Rhinolophus ferrumequinum: one gene and its partner. The protein of the gene in region 2 interacts with the protein of the main gene of each other region in a pairwise test. Links are inferred from orthologs where the notes say so. Each region holds a gene or a part of one and is shown on either strand. Other genes may lie near its edges.

Region 1 (7,704 bases), on a different chromosome or scaffold from region 2:
TTTGGTGAATATATACATTCATTATATTTATATGTGTGTGTGTGTGTGTGTGTGTGTGTGTGTGTGTATATATATATGTCAAGGAGTGGAATTACTGGGTCACAGGGTAGATATGTTTATCATTTTCTTTTTTATAAGGAGGGCGCAGCTCACAATGGCCCATGCGGGGGTCAAACCGGTAACCTTGGTGTTATTAGTACCACGCTCTAACCAACTGAGCTAACCAACCACCCCTAGATATGTTTATCTTTAGTAGATACTGCCAGTTTTCAAAAGTGGTTGAAATCAATTTATACTCTCACCAGCAATGATTAAGACTTATCCAACATCCTTTTCAACTCGTGGGATTGTCAGTATTTTTAATTTTAACCATTCTGGTGGCTGTGCAATGGTATCTCATTATTTTATTTCCCTAGTGAGTGATGACACTTTCTCATATGCCTAATGGCAATCTGGATAACCTCTTTTATGAAGTACGTGTTCAAATCTTTTGTCCTTACTAAGACTTATCAGGGTGATCACTTCATAAGTTATATAAATGTGTAATCACTATGTTGTACACCTGAAACATATAATATTATATGTAGCTCTAACTAAAAAAAGAAAAACTCTAGTGGTGGCAAAAAAAAAAGTTAATAACAGAGATAGGATTTGAACAGAGGTCTTTCCATCACTGTGCACTGCCTCCCATCATGACATTGCAAAGAATTCAGCACTTCGAAAGTATTCAATAAATAAATCCCTAACATTAACCAAAAAAAAATTTCTTGTGCCCATTTTTAAATTGGATTCTTTCTTTTATTGTGCAGAAGTGTTTGATATATTCTAAATATAAGTTAGATACATGTATTAAACTATCTTCTTGCAGTCTGTGGAGTGCCTTTTTAATTTCTTAATGATATCTTTCAATGAAAAGAAACTACTAATTTAAAAGAAATCCCATTTTTCAATTTTTTTAAGGTCAATACTTTTGTGGACATCTTTTTCTTGCAAGAAAACTCTAAAAATCACTCTTCTTCTAAAAGAAAAATTTTAAAATATTACCTTTACCTAGTTCTATGCGGCTTACAGTAAGACCAGATACAACAAAACCCACAAACCAATTAAAATAAAGGTTAAAAAAAAAACACCAAAAACCGGGAAGGGAAGGTGAAGAAATTGTAATGAGGAGAACTGTTAACAATGACAGAGTCCTAGGCTAAAAGAAGCCACTGAAATTTAGTTATGAGCTTGGCAAAATAGTTTTGTTTTTTAAAATTGCTCAAAGTCACAAAAGCAAAAACAAAGGATAGACTCAAACCTGGAAAATTTCTTGATGAGGCCAAGGTGAAATTTACAAACACTCTAAATAAAGAATTTAAATTCTGGATACCTGATTTAGAAGAAATTGGCAATGATGGACTTTTCATGTGGATATGGCCAATGTGAGATTTACAATACTCCTAATAATGAAATTAAATCATGGAGCTATCACTCAGAAGAAACTGGCAATGAGACTACAAAGCATCAGACAGATTTTAGTTTTATATCGTTTCTAAATTTGCTGCTCATTTGATTCACACTTTCCTCTGCTTAGTTAAATAATAATAATAGCAATAAAGAAGTTAAAAACTAGCAATTGCCCCATGTCGATTTAATTCTCATTCATGAAAACGTTAGGATTTATTACAGGATAAGCCCATTCAACAGCAATTGAGAATTCTTGGTACGAAAAAAAAAAAAAACTGATGCAAATGGGTCACACCACTTTTGGGGAAAAAAAAATTAAAGTCCTCAAAAGACAGTAGAAAGCTCAAGATTTCAGAGTTTCTCAAAGAACAGGAAATTTATTCTTGTCTATTCCATCTTTCTCTTTGCCTTGCCTAAGTAAATGACACATATCTATATTATGACAATTATTTCAACAAAACTTTTCTACAAATACTGAAAGGACCTCACCATAATCATCACTTCTACCTCACAACATCGTAAGAAACTATTATTACAGCTATTTGACAGCTGGGGAAACTGACATACAAAGGTGACCTAACCTCCCCACAATGAGTCACTGGCAAACAGAAACACATGTTCTACTTCCTTCATGTTTTCTGGCAACTACGTATTTCCTTTCATCCTTCACTAGCAAAACAAGCTAACACCATGTACGTTAACATAACTATTAACTTTTTTTTTATCACTGAGTAGAAAATTAATATGAAACAAAGACCCCTAACAAAGTTTGGTTCAAGAATGAACAATGCTCACAGTTAACCCCTGCTGGGTAAACTCCTCTCATCCCAATTTCTTTACCTAAAATATTCTCCTCCTCCTTCAATCCCCCAAGATTGTCGTAGTTATTTCTCCCCAACGTAAAGAGAAAGACAATTCCATTCAGTCTTCAAATCCAGAATCACTCTGAAATACGCTAGCGCTTTCCAACGTCCTGCTTTTCTGATGACAGCAGCTTCCTGGGTCTACCCCTTAGTCCTCATAGGCTCTAGAAGCAGCTGCCACTTTTCTCTAAACACCAATCGCGGCCCCTGGTTCCCATCCCCCGGTCCCTGGCGCCCTCTCCTCCCCACCGCCCTACCCCACCACTGCCTCTCGCCCTCCCCCCCGCCCCCAGCATCGGCACCTCGTGCTCACCTCGGCCCCTGACAGGAAGGGGTGCGAGGGCCCTGTGATCGTCAGGTAATTGTCATTTCCTCCGGGAAACTGGAAACCAAAAGAAAGCCGCGGGGATAAGTTAGGGGGAGCAGGGAGTTAGCTTGTAGCGACGGATTCTGACCCCGACATTCTGACAACACTCCCCAAATCCCGCTCTCTCCCGTCCTGTCAGCCGCCTCTCCGCCCAGCTTCCCGCCTCTGCTTCAACCCGGTCGGTCGCACTCTCTTGTCAGCCTTCTTAGCGCTCAGGTTCCTACCTCCATTTTCACACAACGGCTATCACCGTCTCAGTCCCCTCATCGCTCCCACCGCCCCCACAAGACTCGGAACTGCCGTCACTTCCGCAAGGACATGCGTCGCTCTTCGCTGATTGGAAGGGGCGCGGTAGGGCTGTTACGAGTCAGACCCGGGAAGGCCGAAAGGACGGAAAGGCTAGCTATCGCCCCCTGGAGCTTGGTGGGATAATGGCACATAAGAGTGTTACAGGCGACCCTGGAATCGGTGTCTGGGTATTACCGTCGCTCCGACCAGGAGAGGATTTCTGGGGAGAGCAATAGAGATGTGATCTGGGCTAGAGGGGCTGGAGATCGGCGGATTGAGTGGCTAGACAGGCCGGAGGTAAGTGGCTGTAGAAGTCGGGCGGACCCGGAATCCAGAGGAAACGGGACCATGACTTATGCTTATCTCTTCAAGTACATCATCATCGGGGACACAGGTAAACAGCGGGCGACTGCCCTGATAGCTGGGGCGGGGATTCGAAGTTCCCAATTCGGGTCGTGGGGGCGGGGCTCAGTGGGCTGGGCGATTAGGTGAAGAGGGGGCGGGGGCAGGGCGGCCGGGGGCGGGGCTCGGGGCTCCCCTTCCCCAGTGCCGGACACCCCGACTCGGGACCGCTCCCGGGCGGCGTGACTCCTTGAGCGTGCGTCCTCCTCTTTAAGGTGTGGGGAAGTCATGTCTCCTCCTGCAGTTTACAGACAAGCGGTTCCAGCCTGTTCACGACCTCACAATAGGTAAGTGCATCTACCTGTGCCTGAACAGATAATGAAACATGACTAGCTAAAGTGAAAAGTTAGCAGCCTTCAGGGTTCAAAGTAAAAAGTTAGCTCCGCCTACTTATAAAATAGTCCGAAGTTGTGTTAAATGAAGAGTGACCAATCAAATGCTGTAAATGGGGAGTAGTGTAATGGGGAGCAAATAATTGAAAAGTAACTTTAGAGATGAGCATGAGGTATGAATAAGTTCTTTTTGTTTTTCCAAATGCAATTTGAATGTTTGGAAAATCCTACGAAAGCTAACTAATTCAAAAACTCACCTTACTTTGCGGTAAATTAGTGCTAGCCTCACGTGTGTGTGTTTGTGTGTGTGTGTGTGTGTGCGCGTGTGTGTATGTTAAGTAATTACCAATATACAGATTTTTGTGTGTGTTGGAGAGGAAGAAGAAAATTCAAGAGTCATCCTAGACTTAAAAGGTAGCTGAAACTAATAACTTTTGTTAAAAAGTGTGATAGAGTTCCAGGAGATTCTGGAAAGTATAAACATTTCCTACGTATTTGTGATAAGGCATGGCCTGATGGGGCTTTAGCAACCCCTGCCCCATAATATCCATAACCTCAACCGAAATAAAGAATGCATATAAAACTAGCCTCCTTGCCATGCAAACACAGTTTCTGAATAAAATCCCTAGCTCCCATTCTTACCATATTGTAGATTCTTACCATCTACAGTCCCACCTTACTGAAATCTGAAGCTACTGCTGCTCCCACAGGACTTATTCAGAGCCAAACAACTAAAGGTTGAAAATAATTTAGAGGGTAGCATCAACAGGAAAATATTTTTTTGGAAATGAATGTTAAGTGGACACCCACACTGTGATAAACTAATGATACAGTGTGTAAAAAGGCAAACATTGCGCTTGCCCTTAAGTAGCTTACAGTCTTCCCGTGTAGCAGGTGGGGCTGGGGGTAGATATAGTGTACTGACAAGTAAATTTTTATTGCAAAAAGGGAGGAGAGGATGCCTTTATCAGGAAAGGCTGAAAACTGAAGAATGAGCAGGACTTAGCCAGGCAAAGGGGATATAGAGATGAGGGAAAAGTGATCAGGGCAGGAAAGAATAACATATGCAGAAGCTTATGAATGACAGAGATCAGGCTGCCTTTGGAAAACTGTAAGTAATTTGACACGTTTGGAGCATGAAATTTGAAGTGGAGAATGACAAAAAATAAAGCTAGAAAATAAAATAGAGACTAAGTTTTGAGACACCTGAAGGCAATAGGAGTAAATGACAAGTTTTAAAGCGGAGGAATGACGTGATCAAGTTTTCCCCAGAGTCCAAAATGTGCTGTTTCTTTCTGAAGTCAATCCTTTGTACCAAAATAAACAAGGCAGTTGGATAGAAAATATGTGCAAAATGAAGGGTCTCTGAGTGCATAACTAGAGAAAGTTGCATAAAAGGATACAAAGTTTTATTTTTCAATTCTTCCCCATTGAAATTCCATTCCTATTGTCCAGAAGGGAAAAAAAATAGTGACTTTTTGCAGTAGCTATCACTATTCTTGATGAAGCAGTCTAGAGTAGTAAGAAACATTTTTTCTTTATATCATATTGACTTGAGCACCTTAGAGTTGAGGGTGATATTTTGATGCATTGTATGTGGGACCACTGAATAGGTGCATATCAGCCCATTATAAGAAGCTAGATTAGTCCTCTTTCTTACTTGGAAATCAGAATTCCTCAAGTAAAGTACTGTATAAAAAATAGGAAATAGAACAAATTGTCTGACATATGATCAAGTGTTTTTAATATAAGTGACCTTTGATTTTTAATTTTTGTCCTGATCTTACCTTGAAAGAAGATGAATGCCAGGTAAACCAAAGTCTTTATTGAGATTGTCAGTTTCCATACTCCTATGAGGAAGGCTGTTTTCTGATGAACTCTGGGAATTATTGGAGATCTGAAATATATTATTTTTGAGAACTTATTTCTTAGGTAGGCTCTTTTCTCAAAAAATCTAGAATTGCAAAAAAATATTGTTCCATATAGAGGAGTAGAGAGTGACTTTGAGAAAAATGCTAGGAAATATTTTTTAAAATTTTAGAAGTTTTTTAAAAAGTTACAAAATTAAACATTATCTAATCAAATTAAGCGTTAATTAACATTGCTAAAAATTTACTCACCTTTTCTGTTTGACTTCTTAATTCATTTTATCCCCATATCTGCTTTTTGGTTACATTCTTGAAGTCATTATCACCTAGAACACAGTTTTTAATTCTAGAAAAGAAATGAAACTTCAAGAAACAAAAAACTAATTGGCTCAAATAGTGGCACTGAGTGCAGACAGAGGACGAGTCACTAGCACATTGAAAAATAGCATGAACTTCTCACTCAACATGGCTGTTCATGACAACCACATTTTTTCTCTTGATCTTCACTGACAGGTGTGGAGTTTGGGGCCCGTATGGTCAACATTGATGGAAAACAAATCAAACTGCAAATCTGGGATACGGTGAGAGAGGACAAAATCATTTACTCCCTGACCAGATCCAAATACAACACTAAAGTCTGATGGAGGGGAAAGGGCTATGAGGATGGGAGCTAATGGTGGAGATCAGAGTAGGGGAAGAGTAAAGTCGAAGATATAGGGAAGCTTTCATTTTCCTCTGTTACAGTTACAGATATGAATGTCATAGTTTTAAATTTTTGTTTTAAATTACCTACGTAATATATGAGTCTGTTCTAGTAAAAAATAAAAGCAACCAATATAAGTGTATAGAGTAAAAGGTTAAATTCCCCTTTGCACACATAAACCTCTCTCCCTCCCAATCTTGGTTTCTGCGTTACCAGAGTAACCCACTATCATTGATTCAGACTTTTTCTCTGTATTTAGATACATAAATAGAAACAAATATATGGTAGTGGTTTTGCTTTTATTAGTTTTTAGAATTGTGGCAAAACAGACCTAGCTTTGTGACTAAGGTATTTTTTTTTTAGCGATCTTTATGTTTTGTAGACTTTCCCATGTCAGTACATACAAATCTACCTTATTTCTTTTTTCAATTTTTTAAAATTTTAAAGTCACCTTATTTTATTTCTTTTTAAATTAGTTTTAGGTGTGCAAAACAATGTAATAGTTAAATATTTATACCCCTCACAAAGTGATAACCTCCCCCAGTCTAACATCCCTCTGACATCGTGTATTGCTGTTACAATTCCATTGACTGTATTCCCTATGCTGTACTCAGCATCTTGTGGCTACACACACACACACACACACACACACACACACACACGTTTATTTATTTATTTATAGTTGACATTCAGTATTATTCGGCTTCAGCCTCAGGTGTACAGTACAGTGGTCAGGCGTCTACCCAGTCCATGAAGCGGTCTTCCTAATAAGAGAAGTGCCCATCTGACACCATACAAAATTTTACAACATTATTGATTGTATTTCCCAAACTGTCTTTCATATCCCCATGGCAATATTGTCTACTACATGTCTACGAATGTCTACTAAAACATGTCTACTAATTTGTACTTCCTAATTCCTTTACCTTCTCTCCCATCCCCACCCCCTCCCATCTAGCAACCATCAGTTTGTTTGTTTTTCTCTTATATCTCTGAGTCCATTTCCATTTTGTTTGTTCATTTATTCTGTTCTTTAGATTCCGCATGTAAGTGAAATCATATGTTATTTGTCTTTCTCCATGTGACTTATTTCACATAATATTCTCTAGGTCCATCCATGTCTTAGCAATTGGTAAGATTTCATTGTTGTTTATGGCCATTGTATAAATGTACCATAGTTTCTTTATCCAGTCATCTACTGATGGGCATTTCGGTTGTTTCCATGTCTTGGCTATTTTGACTAACACTGCAATAAACATAGGGGTGCATATATTTTTTCAAATTAGTGTTTTGGATTTCTCTGGATAGATACCCAACAGTGGAATTGCTGGGTCATAAGGTAATTCCATTCTACCTCATTTTTAAAAATCACTGCATAGGATCATAGAATGTCTGTTCCATAATTTATTTAACAATCCTCCCATTGATGGAA
Region 2 (7,178 bases):
AATTTAACTTTTTTTCTGATTTGCATGCATTTTATTTCTTTCTCTTGCCTAATTGTTCTGACTAGGACTTCCATTATTATGTTGAATAAGAATGGGCACTAAGATCCTGAACTTAAAGGAAAAGCTTTCAACCTTTCACCATTGAGCATGATGTTAGCTGTCGGTTATATGGTCTTTATTTTGTTGAAGTTTGTTCCTTCTGTACCTTATTTATTGAGAGGTTTAATTATGAAGGATGTTGAATTTGTCAAATGCTTTTTTTTTTTTTGCATCTATTGAGATGATGTAATTTTTATCTTCTATTTTGTTAATGTGGTGTATCACATTACGGACGGTGTGTCTCCCCCTGGGAGGCTTGGGACTGTCCCTGGACCACAGCTAAGAAGGGCTAGAGTTGGGTCCCAAGCTACTTCAGGGTCCACAGCCAGAACCAAATACATTGGGCCTGTTATCTGGGGCATGTGTAGGTCTGATTCTTGCTGGATCCCTCCTCGGCGGATGATGCTGGTGACAGGACCAAGGCCAAATGGAGCTGTAGCCGCGTCCACAGGGGGATGGTCTGTTTCTGTGTCTGTAGCTGAGACCAAGGTTAGTGAGTCTTCCATTTGAGTCGGTGGCAGCTGACTCAAAATGGCCCTTATGATTTGGGGTTCCACCAGGGATTCACAGTCTCCTAGGCATCCCAAAGTTCCCACCAAGGTACTTCTGTCCATGGATGGATGCCAAATTATTGCTGCTGAGGGAGGATATGATGGAGGACCCCTATTCTGCCCTGTGGCTGACATCACTTCCTAATCTTTAAATCTCTTGATGGCCCAGAACGTATGGCTGTGGCCTGTCCCAGGTCTGAGTGGAATTCATGCCAGGGGGAGATGGGACTATAGTGGGTGCTGGGTGCTCCTTCTTCCCATTTCCCCTGAATTATTTTGTGGGCTCTATCTCCAGGACTCCAGATCACCCCCAACCTGATCTTTTCCCAGCAGGTGCTAGGAACCTACACAAAGGGGGCCTTTGTGTGAAGTAGAGGAAAGTGTCGGAGGATGGGGGAAGAATTACAGAAGAGGCCCCCTTGGCTGGACCAATAACAAAGAAGCGTTGTTCCTGGCAGCCTCCACAGCAATGGTGGGCAGCGGCCAGTGGTGCTCAGAGTTCCCCATCCCAGGGAACGGTACTCTGTCTATCCAGTTTTACATGTTTGCAGACCCATGAGGCATCCGAGCTGCCCTCCTTCCCTTACCCTGCTCTCAGTATTGGATTCATGCTCATGTCCTATTGATTTCACTCTTTGAGTCTGTCCACTTCTCTGCATGTTGGTCTCCACTAGGATCACCTTAATTCAGGACTCCATCGTCTCTTGCCTGGAAGCCTGCCATCGTTTCCTCAAGTGCTCTCCCCAAATCCACTCAGGACCTTTCCTCCCCACCCCCAATTGATTTTCCAACATTCCAGCCAGAGTGACTTTTGAAAACACAAATATGATCATATCTACCCTTGCCCCTAACCTTGTAAAGGCTTCCCATTATTTTTAGGATCAAGACAAAACTCATCCCTTGGCCAACGAGGACCTGCAACCCACACGGCCCACATCCTAATTACCTTTTCCATCACATGTCACAAACTTCCTCCTCAAAGTTCTTGTACTGCTACGGCTGTGACCTTGGGTGTGTTGCTTAATCTCTCTGAACTTTATGTTTTTCATAAAGAATAGGGATTAAAACAAGATGTGCCTGGCCCAAGGCATGGTAACTCAGCACGAGTAACGTTACCATTTTCTGAGTGAGGCCCTCTGCTAAACCCTTTAGAAACTCTGCGACATTGAATCCTTCCCAGGGCCTCATATTCTGTGAGTTTGAAGCCTCAGCAACTTGCCACAAGAGAGCTTAGATTCAAAGCCCAGTTCAGGCCTGTTCTTATGGCTCTGCTTTTATGAACAGCTTTCTAAGCTTTCTAAGCTCAATTTTCTAAGCTTTCTTGGACAACGAAGGACTTCATGAATAATTCACTTTTCTCCGTCCTACTGACATATTCAAGAACAGGACTGTTCTGAAGGATTCCAGATTTTGCTTAAAGTGGGCATTGCGTGGTTTTGAAGAAGGGGCCTTTGAGATCTTTGCAAATGCCCTGCATACCTACATCTAAGGGGTCCCCCATTTCTGGTGCCATCCAGATCAGAGTGCACTTCTCGTCTAATAAACCGCCCACCAAACGTGACTTCAGCTTAATTAACTCCGGGGACTTCCACTGGAGTCTTCTATGAATTGATGGGTAAGGAGAAGGCTCCTGTGTGGTCCCGAAGTGACCCTTTATTGGTAGACAGCTGTCTTGGTCCATTTCAAGCGATTTAATGTTTTTTGAAAAAAACCATGGTTAATCACTGAGATGTGAATATTGAACACCTTCCTCTATTTGAGCTTCCTGGGCAGCAAAATGTAAAATAAGTAAATTGGAAACATTGAAAACAAAAAAGAGAAGTCAATGATTCCAGCATATGCACAATTATAATTTTGATTGGTTTAATTTCTGATCAGTAAGCAGTTGCTTGGAGCCAAGCAGTGTGCAAGCCCTGGGCAGGAAGGAGTGTTGGCAAAGCCACACCTGCAAGGGAGCTACTGGTGAGGACTTTCGAATATTTTGAAATAATATGAAAAATATCACCCTACGTTTATCTGCTTTCTAGTCAGATGCAGAATGTTAAGACTGCTTACATAGTTAAGTATTAGATTTGGCTCTAACTGAGGCTGAGGTGGGGACAGAAGAACTTTTTTGCCCCCATGCCTCTCTCAGGATTTTTGTAGTTAGCTTTTGCAATCATTTTTCCCCACTGTGAGCGGACTGTAGACTCTAGACCAAGGTGTTTTGGATTCCACACAGTGCTTTTCGTCTCTTTCCAGCCCTGTGACCTTGCTGAGCAATTTTTCCAATCTCTTTGGACTTCTCATCTCTACATAGGACATACCTCGTTTCCATATCAATATCTTTTCCAGCGCTGACCTTCTGTGGTTCTTTGGAATTCCTTTAAGGCACTTTTTCGGTAAAGGAATCCAGTAACCAGCCTCAGCAGAACCCCAGTGTTAACTCTGGAAGAGAGGCTAACTCAACAAAGTTGCCCAAGGTTGCACAACTGGTTGCTGCCCTGAATCAAGTTTTTATCATTGGCAAAAGAGAAATGAGCAGGAAACTCATGGTAAAGCATTTCATTTTCTAAATGAAAATAGCTCCATCCTCTTGTGTTTGGGTGATCAAAGGAATTCTTGCTCAAAGTAAACAACTCAGAAAACAGAGGCAAGTATAAAGAAGAAAAATGAAAAGTAATAGTAATCCCAGCACGCACGAAAAGCAATGGTGATGACAATAAGTAGGAAAAACATTGCTGTCTATAGTTTGGGAATTTTTTCCTAGGAGTACCCACAAGCATGCATTTATGGTCTATAAATATATTTACATTCATACTATATTTATATTCATATATAATAGTTCATATTTACATAGGCGCGGATTATATGCAATATATAACATTAATTATATACAAAACATATATCACATATAATTTAGTCTTCCCCCACGAGCGTGCACTCAAGACTGTGCACATGACACTGGGGACCCTTGTGCACCACCTATTCTTTGGGGGAACCCCGCCAGAGCGGAAGCAGCAGCACACGCGGGGCGCAGCGATCCAGTGCATCTGAACTACAAGTCCCAGCAGCCCACGGCGCGGGCCGGGCTACCGGAGTATGGAGAGACTACAAGTACCGGCAGGCAAGGCGCAGAGGCCGGGACTACGAGTCCCAGAATGTACTGCTCGCGGTTCGCGCAGGGCCCTCCGGGATATGTAGTCGTTGGTGGGGAGCTAATTCTTAATTCATTTAGTCTCAAAGAAAATGCAAAGTCCTCCAACGGCCCACCGACACGATTTTTCAAGGGTTAACGAGGAGCCCTAACACACCATGGGGAAGTGAGAGCTCCTCGGGGCCCAAACTGTGGCACTGGAGTACAACGCGTGCGCATGCCCGGCGGTCGACGGCGCGGGCGAAAGCGCGCGCGGGAGGCCTCAAGCGGCAGGCCCTGCCTCTGGTCCCTCCTCCGCTCCCGGCGCGCCCCGCCCAGGGAGCCTGCGCAGATAGTGCAGGGCAGAGGGCCTCGAGGAGGGACTCGCGGCGCCTGCGCAGAGCGGCGGCTTCTCTCGCGAGGACGGACGCCATTATCGCATCTCCCCGACAAACACCACGAGAATTCCGCAGCCCACACGGTAATTGCAGCTCCCGCAGCCGGTCGCGTCTCCACCTCCCCCTTCCCGCGGGGCGAGAGCGAGAGCGAGATCTCCCCTCCTCCCTCCTCCCTGCACCCTCCTCCGGCCGCCGCGCCCGCCGCCCCCTCCCGGGACGCCCTGCCGGTTCCGCCAACGGCCCACTACCCCCGCCCGGTAGCCCCCTTAGCGCCCCGGGGCCCCGCCGCCCGCCTGAGCCCTGCCGTCACCCGTCCTTCCCCCGCCGCTTCCCTCAGTTCTGTCAACCTCTGCGGACGCCCCCTCGGCCTCAGCGTCCCTAGGCCCCGCCGCCCCCCTCTTCCCTGTCAGCCCCCCGGTTTCTGCGGCCCCCAGGACCCCCCGCGCCTCCTCCCGGGAGCGCACGGCGCTGTCCCCCCGACATTCCCGATACTGGGGGGCCGGGTCACAGGGCCGATCGCAGGCTCGTTTTCTTCCCACGGGAGACTGTTGATTTCATTAATTTTCTTTTGCACTTGCACCCCCCCCACACCCACCCATATTGTCATGCCGTGCGCGGGTTAGGACGGTGCGGGTGACAGGCCCGGCCGCCGGCAGCTGCCTTTAAACTTGGGGCGCAGCCCTGCGAGAGGTGCTCGCAGACGTCCCGAGGGCCGCCCTGCAGCTGCAGGAGGGGCAGGCTGGGTCTCTCCTTTCTCTGGGAAATGGGAAAACTGGACACGCACCCACAGACCCTGCGGTGTAGTAGTTCCTGTCAGGCCGACTTCCGACGCGGTTGGCACCCTGAGTTCCTAACGTGAAATGGAGCCCCGAGAGTCAGGAACACAAGCAGCGTGCTCTTCATTTGCTTACGGTTTCACAAAGGGAAGTAGGGATCTAAGGTGCCGTTTTAGGAGTAGACTGCCGTAGACCTAGGAGAGGACCGGATCCAGCTCTCCTCCCGGCCTCGATGAAGGAGCATTTCAGGTTCTTTCACCCCTATACTTTTTTTTGCTATTTCTGTGGTGTAATCCTTTTGAAATGTGGCCTTAGTTTTTTGCTTTGCAGTCCCTCCACCCACCCCACCCCACCGTGGCTGCAAAAAGTCGATGTACATTGCACCTCACTGTGAGTGAATTGGAGACATTAATAGAGGACTGATTTTTTCAGTGATGAGATGGTAGGGATTGTCTTCATATTGGAGAAATAAGAACTGTTAACAAGTGCAACTTCCAAGGACAGAGAGCTTGCCTGCCCTACCTGGGCAGGTTAGAGTCTGTGGAAGGAAACAGGTGATTGCTCTTTGTTTCGAGTTACCTGTTCTTCCTGACTGTACCCCCGAGGAATGCACTCCAAGGCCTGAGGGCGTTGGTAGAACTAGCACTAAGGTAAACTAGTTGATGGGAGGAGACAGTCCTTTCTAAGGGTGGAGTTGTAACTGGAAGTTTGGGAAACACATAACGTGGGAAAGTTGAGTGGTCCTCAGGGAGGGAAGGTTACATCAGAAAGTACATGATTAGATCAATGAACGTGGAGCTTTTGACCACCCTGGGTACAAATATGCAGTGGTAAAAGAAAACACCAAAACTGCCCGTAAAATTAATTCTCTATATTCAGCTCCATTTACCTTTTGTGTTGCAATCAGAATATGTTCTTCTCATGTTGTGTTCTGCCATCATTGGTTTTAATTTTTAAAAAACAGTCGTTATTTATGGGATCATGTGCTGTTGGCCGGGACTTAATCATTTCCCATGTCTCTCATCACAACCACCCAGTGAGGTAGAGACTGTCCTGTTTTACAGATGAGGTGACTGAGGTCCACAGAGCTTAAGTGACTTGCCTAAGATACACAGAGCCAGGGTGTGAACATTTAAAATAAATAACACATACGTATATTTAATATTTTGAAGTAAGGTACATAATAAAATGTCAATGAAAAACTTATGATGAGAAGTAGTAGTCGCCTGTCCAACCTTTTACATCGTTTTGTTTCTTTAGTAAATTTTCCATCGCTCTAAATGATAAGCTGGTATTTTATTAATTATACACATTTTTGACTTTCTGTTATGATACTGTTTAGCTCTTCAGATCATATTCCACCTCTTTCAGCCCCTGAATTCACTGTGTTCAGTTAACTCTTTGTTTGTAACAATGCAAAAGTTGTTTGCTCGGCAGCCAAGTAGCACTTACCCTTCTTATACAGCTATTTGTTTTTCCTATTGTTTGTATTGGCCTTTCTTTTTCTTTGCATTGTCTGCTCCTATTGGCTGCTTAAATTGTTTCAAATTCTCAAGGATAGAGTCAAGTCTCTCCAAACTTCCCCCTCCTCCCGATTCCTCTGTTCTCTTTTTCTGATCTGGATTGAGTACTCTATGCCACCACAGGTATCCTGATATTTTCCTTTATTATACATCTGAGTTCAGGACTCCATGTTTTAATCTTTGCTTTCTTCATTTCAATGAGAACCTTCTGCCAAGTCGCCTTCCTCCTTTCGCGTGACTTTTTAGGGTCCTCTTTGGTTTTAGGACATTTCCAGAGTGCCAGAGGATGGAGAGTCCCATTCCAAACGCTCTTTGTTTCTGGGGCCTTGTCCTTCAGTTCTGGGAAAGTGTCTTGTATCATTTACTTGAGAATTTCTTCCTCTCTGCTTTTACTCTTCTCCTTTCCAAGTTCCTGTTAGTTTGATGATGGATATCTTGAGCCCCTGAATCTCTTGTCTTTATCTTCCTGTGTCATTTTGTTCTTATTTCTGGGAGAGGGCTTCAGTTTATCTTCCAATCCTATTTAACATTTTTATTTCCATAATTGAAATGTTAATTTCCAAGTGTGTATTTGTTCTGTTCCTTTTTCATAGTAGCTTATTGTTTTTTGAATGCATTATCTTGTTGACTCTGAGGATACCAATAAGGATTTTTTTTCCCCACTTCTTTTTTGTTCTGTGATCTCTCATTTCATTTAGTGTCACTGCCATCATTGT

What was found. The genes of interacting proteins can lie anywhere in the genome.
Region 1: the proteins of BANP (region 2) and TOX4 interact in binary tests that used the Homo sapiens proteins (3 or more experiments, as listed by UniProt). The two-hybrid records come from large-scale screens. The link is inferred for Rhinolophus ferrumequinum from reciprocal best matches to the Homo sapiens genes BANP and TOX4.

Annotation. Positions count from the first base shown.
Region 1 is NC_046289.1:72,280,000-72,287,703, reverse strand, and holds the start of TOX4 (TOX high mobility group box family member 4), read right to left. Parts: upstream 3,001-7,704; 5' UTR 2,910-3,000; coding exon 2,904-2,909; intron 2,695-2,903; coding exon 2,626-2,694; intron 2,308-2,625; exon of another isoform or gene 2,290-2,307; intron 1-2,289. Other genes in the region: RAB2B (ras-related protein Rab-2B), read left to right, coding at 3,316-3,361, 3,585-3,656, 6,083-6,150. UniProt on the Homo sapiens protein: Transcription factor that modulates cell fate reprogramming from the somatic state to the pluripotent and neuronal fate. In liver, controls the expression of hormone-regulated gluconeogenic genes such as G6PC1 and PCK1.
Region 2 is NC_046298.1:32,663,897-32,671,074, forward strand, and holds the start of BANP (protein BANP), read left to right. Parts: upstream 1-4,140; 5' UTR 4,141-4,246; intron 4,247-7,178. UniProt on the Homo sapiens protein: Controls V(D)J recombination during T-cell development by repressing T-cell receptor (TCR) beta enhancer function. Binds to scaffold/matrix attachment region beta (S/MARbeta), an ATC-rich DNA sequence located upstream of the TCR beta enhancer.